Linked DNA regions of Struthio camelus. The protein of the gene in region 2 purifies or fractionates together with the protein of the main gene of each other region. This does not show direct contact. Links are inferred from orthologs where the notes say so. Each region holds a gene or a part of one and is shown on either strand. Other genes may lie near its edges.

The links.
Region 1: the proteins of WWP2 (region 2) and PTPN14 purify together in Homo sapiens (affinity purification with mass spectrometry; 3 studies listed by BioGRID). This does not show direct contact. The link is inferred for Struthio camelus from reciprocal best matches to the Homo sapiens genes WWP2 and PTPN14.
Region 3: the proteins of WWP2 (region 2) and NDFIP2 purify together in Homo sapiens (affinity purification with western blotting; 3 studies listed by BioGRID and IntAct, with this or other methods). This does not show direct contact. The link is inferred for Struthio camelus from reciprocal best matches to the Homo sapiens genes WWP2 and NDFIP2.

Annotation. Positions count from the first base shown.
Region 1 is NC_090944.1:115,141,215-115,145,926, forward strand, and holds the start of PTPN14 (tyrosine-protein phosphatase non-receptor type 14), read right to left. Parts: upstream 3,457-4,712; 5' UTR 3,275-3,456; intron 2,758-3,274; exon of another isoform or gene 2,722-2,757; intron 1,237-2,721; exon of another isoform or gene 1,017-1,236; intron 1-1,016. UniProt on the Homo sapiens protein: Protein tyrosine phosphatase which may play a role in the regulation of lymphangiogenesis, cell-cell adhesion, cell-matrix adhesion, cell migration, cell growth and also regulates TGF-beta gene expression, thereby modulating epithelial-mesenchymal transition.
Region 2 is NC_090951.1:1,475,555-1,480,266, forward strand, and holds the start of WWP2 (NEDD4-like E3 ubiquitin-protein ligase WWP2), read right to left. Parts: upstream 2,794-4,712; 5' UTR 2,705-2,793; intron 2,135-2,704; exon of another isoform or gene 1,988-2,134; intron 1-1,987. Other genes in the region: RNA-binding protein NOB1, read left to right, coding at 2,909-2,971, 3,717-3,849, 4,132-4,265, 4,355-4,426, 4,654-4,712. UniProt on the Homo sapiens protein: E3 ubiquitin-protein ligase which accepts ubiquitin from an E2 ubiquitin-conjugating enzyme in the form of a thioester and then directly transfers the ubiquitin to targeted substrates.
Region 3 is NC_090942.1:175,522,660-175,527,371, forward strand, and holds the start of NDFIP2 (NEDD4 family-interacting protein 2), read right to left. Parts: upstream 3,068-4,712; 5' UTR 2,816-3,067; coding exon 2,780-2,815; intron 1-2,779. UniProt on the Homo sapiens protein: Activates HECT domain-containing E3 ubiquitin-protein ligases, including ITCH, NEDD4, NEDD4L, SMURF2, WWP1 and WWP2, and consequently modulates the stability of their targets. As a result, may control many cellular processes.

The DNA.
Region 1 (4,712 bases), on a different chromosome or scaffold from region 2:
GAACATCTACAGTATAAGGGTTTGTTTTCAGATATCAAGAGCTGCTCTTACGTATCCTCTGTGGAACTCCTCTAGATAATACGCTCAGGCATGCTGCACTTCACTACGAACCTAAACATTAAAAAAAGGCTTTTATGGCAGTTGTTCAGCATAACGTTTGTCCACTTATCTAAAACTTCTTGTAATTGAGTTGGATACATATGTACTAATATACTGCATACTAAATGTTACAGCCTGGCTCCTGCAAAGATTTGTATATATGTTTAATATTATGCATATAAAAGAAATTCCATGGTTTCACAAGCACTACTCAGGAATAAGAATTTAAGCATGTGGGTAAATCTTTGCAGGACTAAGATCTATACATACACTAGTAAGGAGCAATGTCTGCCGAAAACTTCTTACAACTTGCATATTACCAGCAGTTTATAAAAAACCCTCAGCTAACTAAACCTTGCAACAAACAAGCACTTGCTTCCAACGCAGGAGTTGTACTTCAAGTGCACTTTTCACATCGCGTATGTTATATGAATGTTAACTTTAAACCCAAATTAAAACAATATACTTCACTTAAGTAGCGTGTAATCTAATGCAGCCTCACTGGATATGAGGAGAAATAGAACAAAGAGTGGTCTTCTACACCCCTTTGACTGTCGTGGCACCAGAAAAACATAGAAAAAGGAAATAGTATAGTTTTGAAAAGCACGAAGGAAACTCTTTTTAGATTGAGTACTTTCTCCAGGATTGTACTTGCCACTGGCAGCCTAGACAATTTGCAAAAGTACACACAAGCAGATTTGTTTCATAGAAAACTGCTCCATACCTAAACTATGATAACTGACGCCCAGGCATCTGCTGGACAAGAACGACCGGTAAAGAAGTACTTCATCAGTCATTAATAGTAACAACGTTGGCTGCTAGTGATCCTCATAAACAACACTGCACCAAAGCTAATTCTGCTACAATTACAAAAACATTTAAAAGACACATCTAAAATTGTAGTATAACGTACATACACAAGCTCAGTTTGCTCAGTCCCAGCAGATCCTGATTTGATCAACGCTGCATGCAGTCTTTACGCAGGCCTTGATCTGCACTACTAGATCCTCCGAGATCGCTTGGAGTCAATGGCACTTTAAAGCTTTTCCCACACAAATACCACAGCAGAACTGATGGCTGCAAGCTCTCCCACAGACTTAGCGGACTACCCTCCGGCTGATGGACCCAGCTTCAAACAAGAAGTTTGAAAAAATCCCCAACTTTTGTATCATGTCCCATTAGATACACACAAGTGCCCTCTGCCTGTAAGCACCTCTGGCACAGCCTCTCTGAAGAAACCAAGAGAAGTTCAAGAAAGCACTGCCAATAATAGATCAGGGCCTAAAGCTTATTTGCATAACTATAACATCAACGCATGCTTTATTTTACACCATGTAACAAGTACTAGATGTCAGCTACAGACCCCCCAGAGGGCAAGAGCAAAAGCTGTGTAATCTGTATTTTGTCACTCATATTTGATAGGACATTCGCAGCTAGATAACTAGACACTAGCCCCCACTGGGGTTGCCGCCCTTCACATTTCTCCCCCAAAAGAGCTGTCCTTACCAACTTCTCCCATAGTCCCGAGGTTGGCAGGTGGCTTTGACCTCTGATTTGGGGGAGCCATTTTATACATAGATTTTACAAACTCTAAATAATTTCAGCATATAACAGTGTTTTTAGTTTAAAAAAAAAAACTAACAGCAAATATCTACACAGACTTTAAAGAAAAAAAATGGTTTCTGGTAAAAATAGTTCTTTCAACTACTGTTTCAGGCCACATACTAAAAATCTCAGAAAACTTTTTGGACAACAATGTATTCAATCAGAGCCTTTACCAGTCACCGCTCGTTTCCACCTTGTCAGAAGTTACAGAGAGCTTCTAATGGAAACATAAGATTATTTCATGCAAATCACAGATAAAGTGCTCCCGACAGGAAAGCTCCAGCACACATCATACACATATGCCACACATACATTATGTAATACTTGTAGTACCAAATACACTCCCGGAAAGAGAGTCAGTTTGGGATGTTAAAAATTCATTGACTTTGCCCACATCAGAAACGAGAGCAGATGTCATTATTCCCGGCCTTGGTGCAGTTCCTTCGGTGTAACTCGGTGTTACAGTGTTTGCTGGAGACAAACGGCCAGGGCAGGCTTCACTGTAACTAACAAAGAACAAGGTAAATCCGAGGGGGGAGCGGAAAGCTAAACACAGTCACGCCGCAGTGTAAATAAGGGCAGCTCAGCCGACAGCCCAGGCTGCTCCTGCCTATTTACAAACACCTACTGGTTATGGAGATGCTCTGTTATCTAGGAGCCTATCTGGTTAAATTTATAAACTGGAAGGGCTGTTCAAACCGTGTTTATCACAAGCCATCGATTGGTAGGCATAACCCAAGCTTAGCTATTCTCATACTTTGCAAACAGTCATGTATACGTCGCCGAGCTATAATTGCACACTATAAGGCACAGCAAGCCTTAAGCAAATATCGCCTCTCCCTCCCTCCCTCCCTGTCTCGCACACATGCACACCCGCACACACACCGTAAAAGACATTACTGAGACGGCTCCGAAGTCAGCGCGAGCCCGCGGTCGCCGGCAGCAGCCGGGACACGTCCGACACGGGGACGGGCCGGGCAGACTCGAGCAAACTCCGCGGCGGCCGCCGCTCCTTACCTGCTGCGCGGCCGCCGGGCCGGGGGAGCGCGGCCGGCCCCGACCCCGGCCCCGGCTCCGCGCGGGCCCGCCGGAGGCGGCTCTCGGCCCGGGAGGCGGCCGCCGACGGCACCGAGGCGGAGGAGCGCGGCGGGCCGGTGCCGGTGCCGGTGCCGCTGGCGGGAGCCGCTGCCGCCGCCCGGCCCGGCCACGGCGGGGAGTTTCGGCGGGCGGGCGGCCGGCCGGGGGCTGGGGCCGCCGGCGGGGGGGGCCGGGCGCCCTGGGCTCCTGCTGCCGCCCGCGGGTGCGGGCAGGAGGGAGGGAGGGGACTGGTGTCCCGAGGGGCCGGCGGCGGCGGCGGGGCCGGGGCCGGGGCGGCGCGGGGAGTCACGGCCCAGGAATGCCAGGAATGTGGGGCGGCCGCTGCGGCCGCCGGCCCGGAGACGTCGGGGACCTGACTTGGGATTTCTTCTTCTTTCTTTCTTTTCTTTTTTTTTTTTTCACCCCCCCCCCCTTCTTTTACTAACTCCCCCCTCCGCCGCCCCGCTCGCGAAAGAGGAGGGATGAAACCCACCCAAAGGAGGAGGGAGAAAGAGGGAGGAAGAGGAGGGCACAGGCTCCTGCCAATCCGGGCGGGTGCCTGGTGCAACTCTCACAAGGAGGGCAGAGCTGCCAAGTTTGGGGCAGATCCGGAGAGTCTTCCCGTCCCGTCCCGTCCCCTTCCCTTCCCGCTGGTGGGAAGCCGCCCGCCAGCCCTCCCCTTCCCCGCCCCCGGGGCGCCCGTCGGCCCGGCCCGGCCCGGCCTCGGGCGGGTCCGTGGGGGGCCAGGCGAGGCGGGGAGGGAGGCGCGGGAGTAGCCCGAGGCAGGGGGAACCCCCCAGAAATGCGGGGGGTGTAGAGGAGAGAGGGGCTCGCGGCTCCTGCTGCCCCCCCCCCAGCTGGCCCCTGCTGGCCGGGTGCCAACCCACCTCCCCACTACCTCCCTCTTGCCCCCCCAGAATTCATCTCTCTCGGGCCTGCATCAGAACAATCTTTTCTGCTCCTGCCATCCCTTTCTTCAGCCCCCTTTTCTGCTGCTTTTGGCATTTCAGCTGCTTTGGCCTCTCGCTCGTGGCGTCATCCTCGTTCCTTAAAAGGTGGACATCCCTCCTCGTCCAGCTGCGTGGTGGGCTGCTGTGGGAGGCGTGCAGGACCAACACCCGGATGCTGCAGTTGTAGCATTGCAGGTGCCTTGCTGGAGAACAAGCAGGAGAAAACCTGAAGTTGCTTTGAAAGGTGGTGGTTGGCAACTATACGAAATTTCCAGGACATATGGTGCTTGGCAGATACGGAAAGGCCCTTCTGAGGACTGAGAGAAAGAGAAGGGGCATGGGGCACGCGGTGCTGCGGGAAATAGGGAGAACCATCAGGAAGGCCGGGACTACCTAGAGAAGATAAATGGATCAGATGAGACCAGTGGGCATGCGAGTCTTAGAAATGATTTGTACTTATTCTTCAGTGTTGCAGCTGATAGCTGATTTGTGAAACTATTTTTGCCCTAGACTAAGTTTATTTAAAACTATGCACATTCTAAAAAGCATGTGCAAGTGCTTCTGATGCCAGTGGGCACCTGCAGAAAAGTCAAGGGGAGGTATCCCTCTAAAACTATGAGACCAGAACTTAAAGAATATTACAAACAGGGGAAAATCAAGAAAAATAGTGATAATTGAGACGTGATACTAGTTTTTGAGTGTACGCTTGTACACCTTATTGAAGGACTATGTGAGCAGATGCATTGGAGTCCGTGAGGATTACTCAGATTAATAATGGTAAGAAGATCAGGTGCTGAGAGAGGGAAAAGTAGCGCAGATTCCTGATTTTGATAGATAAGTAATTGTATTTAAATACTGTATGTGGAATCACAGGCCTATGCCTTACCTCTGGCATAATATTATTATAATTACATTTTGCAAGGAAAGTCCTTTTCATCCGAGACTCAAACATTTTACAAACACCACACCTTAATGAAGTAA
Region 2 (4,712 bases):
ATGCATCCTTTGGAAGGAACAAGTCAGGAACACTGCGGTAGAAGAGAGGAAGCTCCGGTCACACTATGGGAAAGTAGCCACATCCCTTGAGGACAGGCCAGGTCATTTCCTGGTGGCAAAATTTCACAGAAAAAAAAAACCTAAAACCCTGCAGCGCAGCAGCTAAGCGATGGGAACCACAGCTGCTCTCAACTGCTGCAAAGGATCACGCTGCAGCACAGGAAACTGGGGCCTCCAGCTTCTCAAGCACTCACCACTTCCTCACTTTCTCGGGCACAATGACTGTCACTGCAGCCGCAGCGCTTCACCCTGCCCCTGCACCACCTGCGCACCTCGCCTCTGAGACGCCTGCCCGGGGCTGGGAGCGGGCAGCGCGTGGCTGGGCAGGAAGGGGACTTGGGATGGCCAGGGACGCAGCAGAACACGTGGCTGCGCCTCTGCCGAAACAACCGACAACAAAGCAGAAGTACAGTCATGCAGCATGCACAAGCACGAGTTGTTTGGTTTGGGCCCAAGAGAGTAGGCTATTGATTCCCACCATCTTCCTGAGCCTGCAGACAGCAGTCATCCTTTACGCACTTCACAGGCAGAAGAGCTAGAGGGGACCTGCTGAATCCAGACTAACACAATCCTGTGGCAGAGAAGCGGCGCCTGCAGTAAATTCCAAGGTCACAGACCACAGGGGCCTGCCCACATAAACACCCGACACAACAGGACGGATGGAGGCGCTCGCTGGTTATTCCCCGGGCAGATGTGAACACAAGAGTCTCAATTCTGTTGCCTGGGGCAGCAGTGAGAGCTCAGACTGAGTCAAACCCGATCGCCCTCCCAACCCTGCGAAGCCGAAAGCACGCCTCCTGACCAGCTCTGGATTCGAGTCCCCGCCAGCCTCTCCATCCTACCTCCACCCTGATGATCACGAGCCCTCAGGAAAAAGTACAAAAAGGGGAAAGACAGCACATTTCCACTTCCAGCTCTCTGCCAGCTTCTCTGCTGCACAGGAGTCTTTCCTTCCCCGTCCACTCCGCGCCCAGCCATCGCCCCCTCCACGTTGCAAAGGCTCTCCAAGCGTTGCCTTCCTGCTGGAGAAACCACCACAGCACAACCCACAACCCCTTGGGGCTAGCGGAGTCGGCCAGGCCACCAAACCCAGGCCCTTGCTCTACCTTAGCAGGCTCCACCTCAAAGCCTGACCAGTCCCTTTTAAACCTCCTTTTGTAGTAGAACCGAGTCGTCACTCTCCATCCCCTTCTGTGTGCCACCCCAGCAGGAAATCGCCTTCCTGAGCACGGCAAACCAGAACGGCACACCGTACGCCAGCTGAGGCCTCGCCAGGGCCTTGCACAGTCCCCGTTTCTGCCTGGGAAAGCTCTGATATCAGACTTGCCGCTTTCTTGGCTCTGTCAGATTGGTGGGTCAAGGCTTGCTAATGCATGCCTGTCCCTTCCCCCTCACTCCCAACGGATAAGAATTTACTTGTGGAAGGAGGTCTTTTTATGAAGCTAATTGCATTTGCTATTATTACAGTTATTCCTACTCCAATTACTCTGCCCACAGATCACCCTGTCCTTCCCTTAGGATATCGTTATTCCTCGTGTTTGCTGCGAGTCCCCACCTCTGCATTACCAGCTTATTTCATTAGTGCCGTTCGCAAGGACCACAAAAACCAGCCAGACTCATGTGCCCTTCCCAAACAGCCACCGCCTGCAACCAGATACGGGGCTAGAGGGACCTGCGAGCCTGCCCTGTAGGGCATTTCTTACATTAATATTAGCGGTCTGGCCCTCAAAGTTACTATTACCCAGGGCTCATTCCCCTCTAGCAGGAATCTGGATCCCCATTCCTCCCCCCATAAACACAGGCCCTGTTTCTGCTCTCCCCCCCCCCCCACCCCACGCCAGCCCGTCCCGGCGCCAGCTCGCCCCGAGCTGAACTCCGCCAGAGTTCAGGAGGGCAATCTGGCAGCGTTAACCGCTTGCAGTTTCACCTCCCGCGCAGGGATCGCCCCTCGCCAGCCGGTGCTGTCGCCACGCCGGAGCGCGCAGGGCCGACGGCCGGAGCCCCCAGGCCATCGCCCACATATGGCGACGACAAACCCGCCGCCCGTTTGGGCTATGCCTCCTTCTTCTTTTTCCCTTTCTCTCCCCCCCCCTTTTTTTTTTTTTTTTGTTTTAATCTCGACTCTTTCCCCCACTTTCTCCTTCCCGGCTCGTGCACCGCCCCTCGCTCCCGTCTCCCTTCCGCGTCCAGCTCCCCTCCGCTCGGCCCCGGCGCCCCCCGTCTCCTCTCGCGCCCTCCCTGAAGCACGTCGGGAGCTTTTCCCCGCGCGCTTCCCCCGGACACCGCTGGCCCCGCTGCACCGCGGGGCGGCACCGGCTCCGGTACCGGTACCGGCACCCTCAGCCGCCTCCGCGGGCACCGGGGCCCCGCCGGTGAGCCCCGACCGGCCCCCCGGGGAGGCCGGACGCGCGGCCGGGCCCCTCCCCGCGGCCCGGGGCGCAGCGCAGCGCGCGGCCCTGCCCGCCAGCGGCCGCGGCACCGGGGCACCGGGCCGGGAGAGCACCGGAGCGGGCCGCCCCGAGCCGAGCCACGCTCGGCGGAGCGCCGCGGGCAGCGCCGGGCCGAGCTGCGCGGCGGCAGCGCCGGGCGGACGCGTCTTTCCCCCCCCCCTCCGCCCGCGGTGCCGTCCCGCCACCCCCGTTACCGGCGGCCGCTGCGCTCCCACTTCCGGCTCTAGGCACCGCCGTCATGTGACCCGCGCTCGTCACCTGACCCGCGCGGCCCGGAAGAGGGTCACGCGGGCCGGCGGCTCCCGGCGTGCCCCGCGCGGACTACAGCTCCCAGGGGGCGGCGCGACGCGGCGCGGTACGGGGCGCCGTAGGGGTCAGTAGCGGCGGCGGCGGCTGTCATGGCGCGCGTGGCGCACGTCGTGGCCGACGCCGGCGCCTTTCTGCGCGCGGCGCCGCTGCAGGTACCGGGCGGGCGGCGGGGCCGGGCCGGGGGGAGCGGGGCGGGCGGCGGGGCCGGGCCGGGCCGGGGGGAGCGGGGCGGCGGGGCCGGGCCGGGCCGGGCCGGGGGGAGCGGGGCGGGCGGCGGGGCCGGGCCGGGCTGGGGGGAGCGGGGCGGGCGGCGGGGCCGGGCCGGGCCGGGGGGAGCGGGGCGGCGGGGCCGGGCCGGGCCGGGCCGGGGGGAGCGGGGCGGGCGGCGGGGCCGGGCCGGGCCGGGGGGAGCGGGGCGGGCGGCGGGGCCGGGCCGGGCCGGGGGGAGCGGGGCGGCGGGGCCGGGCGGGCGGCGGGGTCGGGCCGCGGGGAGCGGGCGGCGGGGCCGGGCCGGGCCGGGGGGAGCGGGGCGGGCGGCGGGGCCGGGCGGGGCCGGGCCGGGCCGGGGGGAGCGGGGCGGGCGGCGGGGCCGGGCCGGGCCGGGCCGGGCCGGGGGGAGCGGGGCGGGCGGCGGGGCCGGGCCGGGCCGGGGGGAGCGGGGCGGGCGGCGGGGCCGGGCCGGGCCGGGGGGAGCGGGGCGGGCGGCGGGGCCGGGCCGGGCCGGGCCGGGGGGAGCGGGGCGGGCGGCGGGGCCGGGCCGGGCCGGGCCGGGGGGAGCGGGGCGGGCGGCGGGGCCGGGCGGGGCCGGGCCGGGCCGGGGGGAGCGGGGCGGGCGGCGGGGCCGGGCCGGGCCGGGGGGAGCGGGGCGGAGCGGGACTGACGGCGCTGCGCCGGCAGGAGATGGCGCAGAGCGTGTACACCGTGCCCGAGGTGGTGGCTGAGATCCGCGACAAGCCGACGCGGCGGCGCCTGGCCGCGCTGCCCTACGAGCTGCACTTCCGCCGCCCGCGGCCCGACTACGTGCGGCTCGGTGAGCCCCGGCCCTGGTGTCGCCCCCCCCTTCCCCGTCTGCGGTCCCTTTGTTTCTCGTTCCCCCCCACCACCCCCCAGCCCTGGCCCCAGTGTCTCAGCCCTGATTTGCCTCCCCCCCACCCCCAGCCTGGATCCCAGTGTCTCCCACCCCTCCCTGACCAGTCTCCCAACCTGGTCCCAGTCCCTACCTCCTCCCACTGCCCCAGCCTGGTTCTGACCTGACCCGGTCCCCCCCTGGCCCGGCCCGGCCCCCGCCGCCACCCCGGCCGTCTCTCCGCAGTGACCGACTTCGCCAAGAAGACCGGCGACTACCCAAGCCTCTCGGCCACTGACCTCCAAGTGCTCGCCCTCACCTACCAGCTGGAGGCGGAGATCGTCGGCTCTGACCGGCTCCGGCGGGAGCCCGAGGACAAGGTAGGGACAGACACAGGGCTGCCTGTGGGGCTGGGCCCCGCTGCCGTGGCAAGCTCTAGCCCTGCCAACCCGCCACGCTCCCTCCCCAGGTGCAGCTCAGCTCGACCCCGCAGCACCCCGAGGCCCCCCTGCACCTCGCTGGCTTCCACCTGCCCTCCAAGGTAAGGGATGGCGACACGACCCTCTGGGGTGAGGGCTGGGGACAGGGATGTAGTCCTTCGAGGTACGGGCAGGGGACACGTTCCTCTGGGGTGAGGGCTGGGGAGAGGGATGCAGCCCTCCGAGGTGCGGGCAGGGGCCGGGACCCTCCAGGGGACAGGGACGAAGCCCTGCAGAGTCCCTGGGCAGGCTGCAGGCGAGGGACACCCTGTCCTGTGTTGCGCTGCAGCACAAGCACCTGAGAAAAGGCCAGCGTCTGCCCAGCCCCGAAAGGAGCACGGCTGAGAG
Region 3 (4,712 bases), on a different chromosome or scaffold from region 2:
TGCTTTCTATCAGAGTCATTCTGTAAGCAAAGATATCATAACTTTAAAGATTATAAGCTTTAAGAATCAGGTGCTAATTAAGTGTATCTGCAATTGTCTTGTTCTTCCATCCTCTGACCCAGCAGAGTAAGCAAATAACATTTTGAAAGTCTCAGTGTCAAGTAGGCAGATGTATGTATAGTAAAAGAAAAACAATACGGTCCTTCCTAAAAGGTAGTAATCAGTAAGATCTTATTTTGAACTCGGTGGTGCATCAAAGATTAAAACAGCACTTTTGTCGTTCTATTGAATTTGTAGTCAGTTATTTAATGTGCTGTAATTGCACAGGCTTCAGGGAACACTTCTGTAACAAAACTCAGTTACATAAATTGGCCACAAAGTTTAATATACATGGGAAATTGATTGGGCCAACTCTTACTATATTACATCAATATCGTTCCTTTTAGAACACTGCAACAAAAAGCATTTATTCAAAGCTGGGCACCAGCACCATAGTTGGAAGTTTTAAATCAAATATAACAAAAAAAAAAATTACAGAGGCAAATTATCTCTTCATTCCATCTTACCATGCTTTTTTCTACTCCTCTGAGTAACGGAAGCAAAATTTCCATTATATTTATCAGACCTCTAACAGCATACACTTTTAAGGCCTTTTAAAACATAACTTGGTTACTTCAGACCTCAGAGGGAATATAGCATTTGAAGGCTCCTCAGAAAATGCTCTGCCAGCATTTTCATTCACCTTTGTAAAGAAGAGCCAATGACTTTTGGACTTCTGCTAATTCTAAATTATGGTAATGTGGCACAGGAAGAGAAGTATGTTAGAAGGCTGCTAACTAACCCATACAGTGCATTGGGACCTGCTAGTGTCCTAAAGGTATACTTCACTCCTGAGAAGATGCAGACTGCCGGGTATGTTCTTCAGCTATATGACTGTCCCACAATATAATCACGCAAGAGCAAACAGAAATCTTCCATACTATTGGTAGGACTATCAAAATGAATATTTCAAATGCATAACAAAGGCTTTCTCATTATTCATTTTAGAGTATAACCTAGGAACAATCCGAATACAAACGTTTGTATTTATTTTTACATAAGTTCACTCTTAGGAGTTCTTTGCTTGCAACCCAGAAGAGCCATTTACCTCTAGAACATGGCATTAATATCACCAGACCCAGAAATACAAGATAACAGATCAAACAAAAGTAAATGTGACTACTTTTGTGCTCATTGTTTTCACTACTCAAGCTGTAAAACACAAACAGTAAGATGAACAATTCAGGCTTTAGATGGAGGATTGTAAAAGAGGTTTAAACTACAATCAGTAGCAAAGATTTCACATTTGTATGGTATCCCCCTTAAATATGTAGCAAAGCCATGAAGTACATGGAACTAAAGGTTAAAATTGAAAATTTTGAAGAGGCTGACTACACGTAAGCCATTTTTGTGACATAATCAGAAAAGCATACACCTTTTAACTATAACTGACACTAAACTAACAACTGATTGAAACAAGCAGTACACTCAACTCAGGCTGGAAGAAGAGCTTAGTATACTAAGTTACTTTTTCAGTAATGAAGTTTAGGAGGAAGGAAAGAGCATTCAAATTAGACTCAATGAACTGTAAAGTACTTCAGTAAACCACTATCCTTGGTGTATGTGTGCATGCACCCACGTGTGTGTACACATATACATACATATATACATAAACACAGGCCTACAGAAGATCTGTCTTCAGTGTTTTACAGTACACTGAATCTAATCTTTAGTCAGCCACAGTACACGTGTGTGTGCGCATACACATATGTGCAATGGCTTACTTAAGATTAGAATATACACACATTAAAATCTATCCCTGTGCTAGATAGCCAAGCAACTGCTAACAATGGCTTTAGAATACAAGTGACACTTCATTCTCTGACACATGTATTAATTAGAGATATTGCCCTATCCTTAATTTCACAGCTAGACAGCACAAAATACTGTTCTTCAAATAAACTTTTGCCAGGACAACAGCTTGAACTATCAGTGAAATACTCAAACAAAGCCAGGCTCTACGAATTTCTCCTGAACATCACAAAAGTAACAAGCTATACAGAGGAGTCCATTTACTTCTTACCTAAGAGGAAAGCATAAGCCACCCGGCTAGATCAGCGAAGATCAAGACAGCTACCACGCAATCAGTTAACCGGGCAAGAAAAACATACTGCCCTCCCGAGCGGAGAGGAGACCGCTGCCATCCCACCTCAGCTCAACTCAGCCCAGCCCTCAACAGCCCCCGCACCGCCACCGACCGCCCCGAGGCAGCCTAAGGGAGGGGAAGCAAGGCCAGCCTGCGCAGGGCGGACGAGAACAGGGAAGGGCACCGGGATTTTCCGCGAAGACAAGCGAGCAGCTCGGCCGGGCTGAGGCAGCCCCCCTCAAGCACACAGCTCCGCGGCGGGCCCCTGCCGAAGCCAAATCCCCCCCTCCCTTCCCGGGGAGGGGCGGCTATCGCGGAGGGGGCAGGAGGGAGGGAGGGAAAAGACAGGGTCGTGCCCGGGCCCGGGCCCACATCACTGCTGGAGAAACGCGAGGCGATCTCTGTCAGACCCTCACATTTGGAGTCGCGTAGGCCCCAAAAAAGGGGGGGAGGGGAGTAGTAGAAAAAAGAAGGGGGGAGGGGGAAAAAAAGGCGAAGGGGCGGGGATGAAAGGGCTTCCGAGTGGGCTCACCTCCCCCTCCCCGCCACGGACCGACCCGGCGGCCGGGCCTCGCCGCGGCCGGCCGCACTCACCACTTGGTAGCGGCTGGCGGCCTGGTGGTGATCCATCCCGGCCGCCGGCGGACGCACACAGTGGCGCGGCCGCAGCTGCTCCGACCAGCCCGATCCTCGCTCAGCCCTTCCTCCCCGCCGCCCGCCCGCTCGCTCAACCGCTGTCGTCGTCGTCGTCGCTGCCGTCGCCGCCGCCGCCTCCTCCTCGCCCACTCCAGCGACGGAGCCGGTCGCCGCCGCCCCTCCCCCCGCTCCGCCGCGCCCCGCCCTCCACCAGGGGAGGGGCCACACCGCCCACCAACGCCTCCCTTCCTGCCGTTGGGCGGGGGGGGGGGGAAGAGGAGCGCGCTGCGGCCCCGCCCTCTGTGACGCGCCGGGGACCGACCGCCGCCGGGAGTGGGGGGGGAAGGGGACGGTGGGCGCGCGCGCCTCTGCGCAGGCGCGGGGCCGCTGGTCGGCCGTTGGGCGGGGTGTTGGGGGGAAGCGTGGAGGTGTTTAAACGGGCGTGCCCTGCCTGGTGGGGGAAACGTATGGGTTTGTCCGTCTTCTCTGCCGTTATGCGAGGCGCAGCGATTTGCGCCTCGGTGTAACCCCCGCCGCCGGAGCTGCTCGGGGAGTGGAGCTGACGGCGTTGCTGGCGTTGGCAGCGCGGCAGCCCCAGGGGCTGTGCTGAGCGCCCTGCCACCAAGGCCCTGCCGGGCGCTGGCCCTGCTGGCTGGTGTCCCCAGCCCTTCTCGGGGTGGGTGTGTACGCTCAGCCCCTCACAGGGTTTGTGCGCCGCTGCCCTTTCCCCCTCTTTTCGGTAGTATTTTTCCTCCTTCTGCACTATCAGCAAGGCTATTCTGTCCACAAAGCATGCGTAGCCTAGCAGCTTATCCCCATCAGGCACGAATAAATAAATAAGGAATAAAGTAGACATCCTTGAGGCCTAGAAGATGATCTGGAGTAGGAATCTTTCTGTACTAATTTTAAGTCAAGAACCTATTTGTCTTCTGTTCCTTTGAAAATTCAAGGCAAAAGCACCATTCTCTGAGAGGAGGAGGAGGAGGAGGAGAAAAACGTTGTGATCTTCTCCTTCACTCGTCTTTCTAAAACTGTAAATGTTTATGTATTGATGTAACACTGATGACCTCCTGGGGTAAAAACAGTGAAAACTTTCACCCTGGTGGCCTGTCAGATCAGTACGACTCCTTCCTAGGTTCCCAAACTGTCAGATACGCAGTCGTAGTTTAAAACAATTTCCAAACAGCTGGGCATACAGCTCCGAGCCATAGTAGAAAGGAGCGTTTGTATGGGGGGGGGGGGTATAGCAGATCCCTAGGATAAACACTCTCATGAAAGCAGATTCTTGCTATCAGTAATGGCTCATGGCAGAACTTTGTCCCGTATAGCCCAGATCACTGCCTTTATCCAGACAGCCTGCTTGTTCGGAGGCTGACCTGAGCGGCAGGCTAAGCGTTGTCACGCAGGCGGTCATTAGCCTGGATAAGGACTTGCAGGAGTGGAGTTTAAGCCCTAGTATGTGTGTGTAGGAGGGCAGAGAAGTGGAGAGCTGGGGGTTGGTTTCGAGGTGGGGGTGGGAGTGAAGGTACACAGGGAGGAGGGAGCGGGAGCATGATGTGCCCAGGACCTCACTTGAAGCCCATCTCTGGCTACCACAACGGTTATTAATAAGCAAACAGACCAAGTTTTGGGAACTTACACGGCCTACTCTTGTTTGTTGCATTTCTTATGTTCCTCATTGAACAACTTGGTTGTGCATAAAAAGGCCTAACAGTCTAGAAACAAAGTTGGCAGAGAAATACAGGTTAGAAATGGACTAATGTTATTATTTTCCTGGCAGGATTTCCTCCCTTTTCCTCTTTACCTCTATACATAATGAAAGTTTCTGTGTTTAATTATTCTGTCTTAAAGGGAAGATTTATTAGTACAGGTCATGTTAAGTTTAAGAATA